Linked DNA regions of Macaca fascicularis. The protein of the gene in region 2 binds, or shares a complex with, the protein of the main gene of each other region. Links are inferred from orthologs where the notes say so. Each region holds a gene or a part of one and is shown on either strand. Other genes may lie near its edges.

What was found.
Region 1: the proteins of LPL (region 2) and GPIHBP1 are in contact, whole or in part, in a crystal structure (PDB 6OAU), measured with the Homo sapiens proteins. The link is inferred for Macaca fascicularis from reciprocal best matches to the Homo sapiens genes LPL and GPIHBP1. Residues at the interface, in NP_000228.1 of Homo sapiens: Tyr367, Gly368, Thr369, Ala371, Glu372, Glu374, Leu403, Met404, Lys406, Lys430, Lys440, Ile443, Cys445, Ser446, Arg447, Glu448, Val463, Lys464, Cys465, His466, Asp467, Ser469; in NP_835466.2 of Homo sapiens: Cys68, Lys69, Ser70, Leu92, Ala94, His95, Gly96, Asn97, Thr98, Glu99, Ser100, Leu103, Thr104, Thr105, Ser107, Trp109, Cys110, Thr111, Asp112, Ile117, Lys119, Val121, Glu122, Thr124, Val126, Met128.

The regions. Positions count from the first base shown.
Region 1 is NC_088382.1:152,863,265-152,867,816, forward strand, and holds the start of GPIHBP1 (glycosylphosphatidylinositol-anchored high density lipoprotein-binding protein 1), read left to right. Parts: upstream 1-1,577; 5' UTR 1,578-1,620; coding exon 1,621-1,672; intron 1,673-2,113; coding exon 2,114-2,242; intron 2,243-3,243; coding exon 3,244-3,357; intron 3,358-3,498; coding exon 3,499-3,758; 3' UTR 3,759-4,552.
Region 2 is NC_088382.1:23,021,554-23,025,360, reverse strand, and holds part of LPL (lipoprotein lipase), read right to left. Parts: intron 3,375-3,807; coding exon 3,254-3,374; intron 1,710-3,253; coding exon 1,527-1,709; intron 641-1,526; coding exon 536-640; intron 1-535. UniProt on the Homo sapiens protein: Key enzyme in triglyceride metabolism.

The DNA.
Region 1 (4,552 bases), about 130 Mb from region 2:
TAAACAGGGTGTGGAGGAGGTGGGGCACCAGGGAAGCGGGGCGATGGGAGGTGAGGTGTGGGAGAGGCAGGGCGATGGGAAGGCAGGGCGTGGGGGAGGCAGGGCGTGGGGGAGGCAGGGCGAGGGCGCAGGGAGGCGGGTGGGGGTGGGGTCACACCGGGAGGGGCAGGGAGGGGCAGGGCTGGGGGGACAAGCACCACGTATGAAGAGTTTGGGGCTGGCGGGGCATGTCCAGCTGTGGCATGAGCACCGCTATGGGAGACCCTGGCTTGGAAAGTGACTTTGCAGCCTTGGACAGGGAAGGGCTGGATGCTGGGTGGGTGCTGATAGAGAAGAATGGAAGAATGACAGGTTCAGGTGAATTAAGGAGGGATGGTTGACTCAGTGGCTGAGACATCAGAGACAGATATTCCCAGCCTCAGGCGCTGTCCTAAGCCCAGCAGGTACTGACCCTTGATGGTCACCTCACCCTATGAGGGAGCTGAGGCCTGGGGAACCCCAGGGGCTCGTCCAGGACCCAGAGCCAGGGGAAGGAGGAACCGGGTCTTAAACCCAGGCAGCTCACTCCAGAACCAACTCAACCTCTGTTACAGGTGGCCGGCCAGAAAGCCCCACCCCACCCATTGACAGTCAGGGAAACTGAGGCCTCAGTAGGTGAAGGGCCTGACCCAAGCGCCAAGGCACACAGACGCCCAGGCTTGACCCTGGCTCCAGACTCCCATCCAGCCCCTGCCGCTGCCCCACCCCTCTGCTACCCTCAGGAGACTCTGCCCTCTGCATCCCACCCCCAGGGGCTTGGGCAGGGGCTTGGGAGGAGAGGGTGGCCTCAGGGAGGGACCTGGGCTTTCCAAGCCTCTCCCAGAGCAGCCTCTCTCTCACACAAGGCCAGAAGGCAGGTGGGGGCTGATGGCTTTCCCAGCAGAAGGCCAAGGGTTGGGCCCCCAACAGCTCCGGAAAGCTCTCCACTGGACACCAGCAGGAACAGCACTGCAGACGGAACAGCAGGGGCAAAGACCCGAGGTGATAGTGGGGAGGCCTTGGGCCCAGCAAGTGCACTGCTGAGTGTGGGTGAGGAGGAGGTGAGCACACAGCCTTAGCTTGAGGGCACTGACTGTGTTTTTATTTAAATGCTCTTAAAGGGGCCTGGGTGTGATGCTGACTCTGGAATGAAGATGCTTGGCCAGTGATCAGCAAATAGAGGGTCTGTGACCCCAAGCTCCTGTGACTATGGAGCCCAGACATGGGGTTAGGGGGTGTCAGGCATGGCCCAATCCAGGGCAAGGCTCCCTGCCCTGCACTACAGGGCTGAGGCACTGAGCAGCAAGGCAGGCCAGGGCCAGCAGCTCCTGTGGCCAGCACCGCCTTCCAACCGCTGGCACAGGTGCACGGGACGCTCCAAGGCCAACCACAATGACTTCTCCTTCCCCTCCAGCCCCAGAGGTCCTGGAGGGAAACAACAGTCCCTGGCCTGGCGCCTGGAGCTGGGACCCATGTGAGGCCCATTGTTTGAGGCTGGAGCTGGTGGGGGCCACTGGGAAGCCCACGGCAATGCCCTTCATCCCACTTATCGCAGCTCCAGAGTGCTGCGCGAGGAGTCGGGGACGTAGCAGCGTCGGCGAGATGAAGGTGCTCAGGGCTCTCCTGCTTGCCCTTTTGCTGTGCGGACAGCCAGGTGCGGGGCAAAGGGTAACCCTGCGGTGAGGGGCCAGTGAGTGCAGTCCTGGAGCACGGGGACCTCCAGGGAACCCCAGCAGGGGCTTAGGAAGAAGGAGGGGATGAGGCCGGAGTCCCCAGCCCAGAGCGGTGTGGATGGAAGCTGGTCTGGGACCCCAAGAGTCCCCAAACATCTGTGCTCCTGTTTATGTGGGGTGCGGGGAGGGGCTACCATAAAGGGCCAGCCCACAGCAGCTGCTGTTGTAACTAGTGTGCCAGGGCACACTCGGCTGCAGGACAGTGAGCAGGGTGTGCAGGGGCCGGAGGCCACACCAGGTAGGCTGCCCTGGGGCCTGAGGGTGGCAGGGGAGGGCCAAGGAGTTGGGGGCGTGATGCTTGCCCAGAGCAGGTGTCCTCCATACCTGGTAACTGAGGCTTACAAGCATCCCTGCACGGCCAGGAAGAGGGCAAGCACAGCAGGAGGAAGAGGACGAGGATGAGGACCACAGGCTAGATGACGACGACGAGGAAGATGAGGACGAGGTGGAAGAGGAGGAGACCAACAGGCTCCCTGGTGGCAGGGGCAGAGGTACGGCTGCCCCAACCCCAGGGCCCCGTTGCCTGCTCTGCCTGGAGCACTCTGGGCGGGGCTGTGCGATGGAAGCCAACAGGCCACAGTCCCGCTGTGAGCTTGCCTCCAGCAGAGTGGGGGACACTCAGTGCACCCCTCACTTCTTCCACTCACCATGACACCCAGTTCCAGAGTAGGGAACAGGGGAAGAAGCCACCAGCTGGGAGGGTCAGTGGTGCCAGGATGTAGAGGTTAAACAGGAGTTCACCTGGCAGAGAAGGGCTCAGTAGGGGCCCAGGGTGGAGACAGCAAGCACAGAGGCCACAGGGTAGGGTTCAGTTTTGTGGGGCAGAGAGAGCAGCAGGGTGGGCCGGTCCTGTGCAGGGGAGAGATGGATTGGCTGCTGCAGGCAGGGGAACCAGGGAAGCGCTTAGAGCAGAGCAGAGTGGGGCTAATAAGAGCCCACCCCCCCCTCGTCCAACACACCCCTACACGCTGGGCCACCCTCTGCTCTCTCCCATCCCCAGAACAAAGCAGAGCTAATCGCCGCATCCAACCTTCAAGCCGACCACTCCCTAGCCAGGGCGTCCAGCGTGCCCACCACACACAGCCCACCCCTACTCCCAGGGCCCCCAGGCCTGCCCTCAGCACAAGCCCTGCCCCACACACCCACAAGGTGTCCCCTGTGAGGCCCTCCTCTGTGAGGCCCGGTGCTCCCAGAGGCAGGACTGAGTCAGACTCGCCTCCAGGTTTCCATGCCCACAGCAGGAGCCTGGGCAGCACTGTCACAGGAGGTGAGCGACGATGGGAAGTTCGCCCTGCCTGGGCCGCAATCCCTTGCCCCTAAACACACAGGCTCACGCACACAGCACGGCTTACAGGGCCGAGTCGGGGTGGCCCGCCCGTCTGAGCAGTGGGTGCTGGAGGCTCACCAGGCTAGGCTTTGGGAGCACAACTGAGAATGGGGAGGTGGATAGGGACATGGACCCGGCCTGGGCCTGAGCCCACCTTGTCCACAGTGCTGCTGTGGTGCTATACCTGCCAGTCCCTGTCCAGGGACGAGCACTGCAACCTGACGCGGAGCTGCTCACATGGCCAGGCCTGCACAACCCTCATTGCCCACGGGAACACCGGTAAGTTGGCGTGGGGCCGCAGCACACGCAGCACACGCACCCCCAGGTGGCGGGAAAGCCAGGGGCCCTGAACAGAGCCCTGTAGAGCCACCTCGGAGGCCCCGCCCATCCTCAGCATCTGTTCCCCACTCCCCTCCCCAGAGTCAGGCCTCCTGACCACCCACTCTGCATGGTGTACAGACAACTGCCAGCCCATCACCAAGACGGTCGAGGGGACCCAGGTGACCACAACCTGCTGCCAGTTCAACCTGTGCAATGTCCCACCCTGGCAGAGCTCCCGAGTCCAGGACCCACCAGGCAAGGGGGCAGGCGGCCCCCGGGGCAGCTGCGAAACTGCAGGCACAGCCCTCCTGCTCAACCTCCTCGCTGGCCTTGGAGCAATGGGGGCCGGGAGACCCTGACCCACGGCCCCTCCCCACCCCGACCCAACTCACCCCTCTCCCTGCCAGCACTCTGTCGGGTACCTTCCCCTCCTGCCCCTGCACCAGCTTTGGAGAATGAATTTAGAGTGTCTTGGGCAATCCAGCCAGCACAGCCCCGCCGGCCCGGTTGCTTCCTCAGTTCCCGGCTTTGCCCTTGGTTTCCTCTCCCCACCGCCTGTGAGTGGCAGGACTGCAGCACGTGGGCGCTGGGTCCAGACCTTGGCCACCACGCCCCAGGGCCTGCAACCCTCATGGGGGTTGGGGATCCCCACCAGCACAGCTAGGCAGAGATGATACCCACCACATGCCTGGGGGCCCCCACACCCAATCCTCACCCTTAACTTCTGCCACAGGAATTCCTCCATCTGCAGCGGTCACACCGGCCCGCCCTGCCTTTCCCCAGGTCAGCCTCCCGGCTGTCTGGAGGGAAGAGGCCTTGGAGGGAGGCTATAGTCACCCCTAGGAAAGACGGGCCTGGGGGAGGCAGGATAGTAGGGGAGGCGGGCTGAGGATGAGAGGGCACAGGGAGGCAGGTCGGGGTGAGGCCACACGCGGAGGGGCAGTGCGGGGCTGGGGGGACAGGCACCAAGTGTGGAGAGGATGGGGCCAGCGGAGCCTGTCTGGCTATGGCATGAGCACCGCCATGGGAGACCCTGGCTTGGAAAGTTACCTTGCAGCCTTGGATGGGGAAGGGCCGGATGCTGGGTGGGTGCCTGTCACCTTGAAGTGACCATCAAGGGTCAGTACCTACTGGGCTTAGGACAGCACCTGAG
Region 2 (3,807 bases):
AGTTGGTAACTTCGAGGGTTTTGAGATGGTTGCTTGGGCTAGTCCTGTTGGCTGGCTGTCCTGGAGTGCGCTGGCGCTTGCAGAATCAAGAACTATGTGGCTACAGGTGATGCAATGAAACCTTTTCATTTCCCTGAATACATCCTGGGAAGAACTGCACCCACAGCCAGAACGGCAACTACTAAACTTGCGTTACATGCTCTGCAGATGGGATTTGCAAAGACAGCAGAGACGCAGTAGAGAAAAACGCAGAAGTGAAGATTCAGGGGTAGTTCAGGGAGTAAAATAAAACCTAAAATGTGTGCCTGGGATGAAGGTCAGGGCTGGGAGAAACAACAGAAAGAAGAAAGAGGAAGTATTGCAAAAAGCAACAGACCCATCTGATACGTATGCAGAAGGACTAAGAAAGACTGAAGGCTTTGATCACATGAGTCAGGACAAGCTGCTGGTGATAGGGTGAAGAAGAATGCATGAAGCTGCCTCCCTTAGGGTACAAGCTCAGGATGCCCGGACAGCTTTAGCCCAGAATGCTCACCAGCCTGACTTCTTATTCAGAGACTTGTCATGGCATTTCACAAATACCGCAGGTGCCTTTCCTTTTTGCAAGTGAGACACTTTCTCCCTAGAACAGAAGATCACCCTGTGGAAGAAAATGGATGTGACTATGCCATGTAGAATAATCAAAAGCCCTGTTCACAAAGGTACAGTTCTGTCAGGACTGTTTAAATACTACGTGATCGTGCTGGGTGATTGTTTTGATATTCCCAATAATTAACTGTCACACTCAGGCCACATCAGAATCAGAGGGTAATTTGAGAGCCTAACCCAGTGTTCACCAAACAAGCTGGTTAATTTAGATAGACAGGCATGCAGACAGCCTAGAGCAGCCTTATATCACTGGGCTTTCACCAAGAGATGATAAAAGATCAACCCTGCCATCTCTTAGCATCTGCCTTCAACTGGACCTTGCTAGTGAAAAAAAGATTCTTTATAACATTTCCATCCCATCCCCAAGATCTTTCTTTTTCTTTTTCTTTTTGGTGATACAAGCAAATGACTACTATAGCGTTCTCTATGTAGTTCATTTTATGGGTACCCATGGGTGAGGCTGCATAGACAGGTTGACATTATCTTGGAATCTCATCCCCCTTGAAGAGGTTGGTTTGAATCTTTGATTATCCAGGTAACATCTCGGAGGTTTGTTCCCCAGCTATTTTGTGCTCACAAGAAACAGTGCCAAATGAGAAGCTTAGATTCTTGACTTCTAATCCCAGCGCTCACTGAATAACTGTGAGCGATTCAGGGCTTATGTTTTCCTTACATGAAATACAAAAATACTGTCATTTTCCCAAAAAATAAAATAATAAAATAAAATAATACTCCTAAAGAAAATCTACATCATATAGTAATAAATACAAGGTTTCCTAAAGCTCTCCCTGAATCTTGAAGGCCCCTGAAATACAACCGGTAGGTCATGACATCAGGTGGGCGTCTAAAGTGAATGAAAAAAAAATACATTTAATTACTTTTTCTGAGTCTCTCCGGCTTTTACTCTGATCTTCTGAATGGCAAAGCCGGGACTGCTCCACCAGTCTGACCAGCTGAAGTATGAATCGCTCTTCCATTTGAGCTTCAACATGAGTAGTTCTCCAATGTCTACTTCTGTGTAAATTAGGAAGGAGTATGTCTTATTTGTGGAAACTTCAGGCCTAAACAAAAAAGCAATAAATTTGGTTAGTTATAGAGATCAGCTCTCCCTGCGCCCCCCCACACTTTTTTTCCTCCTCTCCAAATATAAATAGCTTTATTGTTTAGGGGATATTTTAAAAATGCAAAAAATGCCCAACAAAATACTCAAAATGAAAGTTGATGGCATTTAGTGTATTTTAAATTATATCCACATCCCTTTGATCTATTCCAGCATTTATCCTAATGACATGAACTATTTAATACAATTCTAAAAGAAAATCCTGAAGTCAGTATTCAGAAATATAATTTTCATTTTCATGTATTCTTTTTCAATTTGTATTGATACTTGAACATTAGTTACAATCATAGCACACATGCAATTCTCTATTCTTTATTCTCTTTATATTTTATATTCTATTTTTTACCATGTTTTCCTGGTTTCCCAGAATTATAGTTTTTATAGGCTAGATCAATTTTATTGACTTGACAAACCACAGTTCATTTAACTACTGACTCAATGTTGGATACTGGATTTCTAATTTATGCTAGTATATGTACCACTGTAATTGATGTTTTTAAAAATGTTTGTTGACTATTTCTTTAGGATAAATATTAGAAAAAAATCACTTCCTTCTATGTAATAACATTTCGTAGCTGTGGAAAGTTATTAACGTACTGCCTACTGCACCTAGAGGGTTCTAGCCATGAACGATGCGCAGTAGGTTCACATGTTCTGCTTCACCACCTTGTCTGCACTGGCTATTTTAAAGATTTGTTCTTCTAGTAATTGTAAAAGAATATCAAGTTGCCTTAATTTTATAATTTGATTAATAGTAAGGGGTAGGCTGGGAACAGTGGCTCACACCTGTAATCCCAGCGCTTTGGGAGGCCAAGGTGGGTGGATCACCTGAGATCAGGAATTTGAGACCAGCTTGGCCAACATGGTGAGACCCTGTCTCTACTAAAAATACAAAAACTAGCTGGGCATGGTGGCGGGCACCTGTAGTCCCAGCTACTCGGGAAGCTGAGGCAGAAGAATTGCTTGAACTCGGGAGGCGGAGCTTGCAGTGAGCTAAGATCACACCACTGCACTCCAACGTGGGTGACAGAGCAAGACTCCATCTCAAAAAAACAAAAAACAAAAAACAAAAAAACAAAAAAAGAAGTGCTAACACTTTGTTATGGACTTGTTACTACTTATATTTTCTATACACATTATATATATATCTATAGAGTGGTTTCCTGTTACTATTGCTCATTTTCTTTAATGTCAAACCTTTTGAGATAATTTGATTGTATTGTTTAACAGCAGCTTTATAAAAGAAATAAGCAGATACAAGATGATGAATAAAAAAATATAACTAGTAAGTAAAAATCAAATGACCAATTTAAAGCATTTTTTTTTCTCAATATAAAATAGAGGAAAGACCTCAATTTTGAAATTCTGATTTTTTAAACTAGAGACTTGTTTTCTAGGCATCCCGCTCTGCCTCTGCTGCTCAGACCGAGGGTTATGGCAGGGGAGGGAGCAGTGCCATGATGACTGCCCCCGTGTGCTACTCACAGGGTGAATGGGATGTTCTCACTCTCAGCCACGGTGCCGTACAGAGAAATCTCAAAGGCCTGGTTGGTATGGGTTTCACTCTCAGTCCCAGAAAAATGAATCTTTACTTGGTAATGGAAGACTGTCGGGGAGGAAATTGGAACATGCTGATCAATCTTTATGAAAATACCACAACCCCAAACAATCAGGCAATTTAGAACTACAGAAAGTATCTCACTAGCACTCAAACCAGAAGTTCACACACATGGAACCACTGGTGTTGCTTGGAAAGACTTCATCATGCACAATGTTCATATTTAGAAAATGCAGACCTTGAATTCTCCTCCCTTTCAGAAAAGTGTGGTTATATGCTTAGGGTCTGAATTGCCAAGCAGCACTAGGAAGTAGCCATCTTTGATGGAGTGCTAGAGAGATCAAATCAGCAGGCCAAATAAAACACTCATGATGCTTTCTCCATGAACTCCACCATCCTTGGCCGTCTTGTCCCTTAGCATCTGGAGCAAGTATATTCGGCATTTGCTTCTGTGTCACTATATGTCACTGTGTTTGTTTCA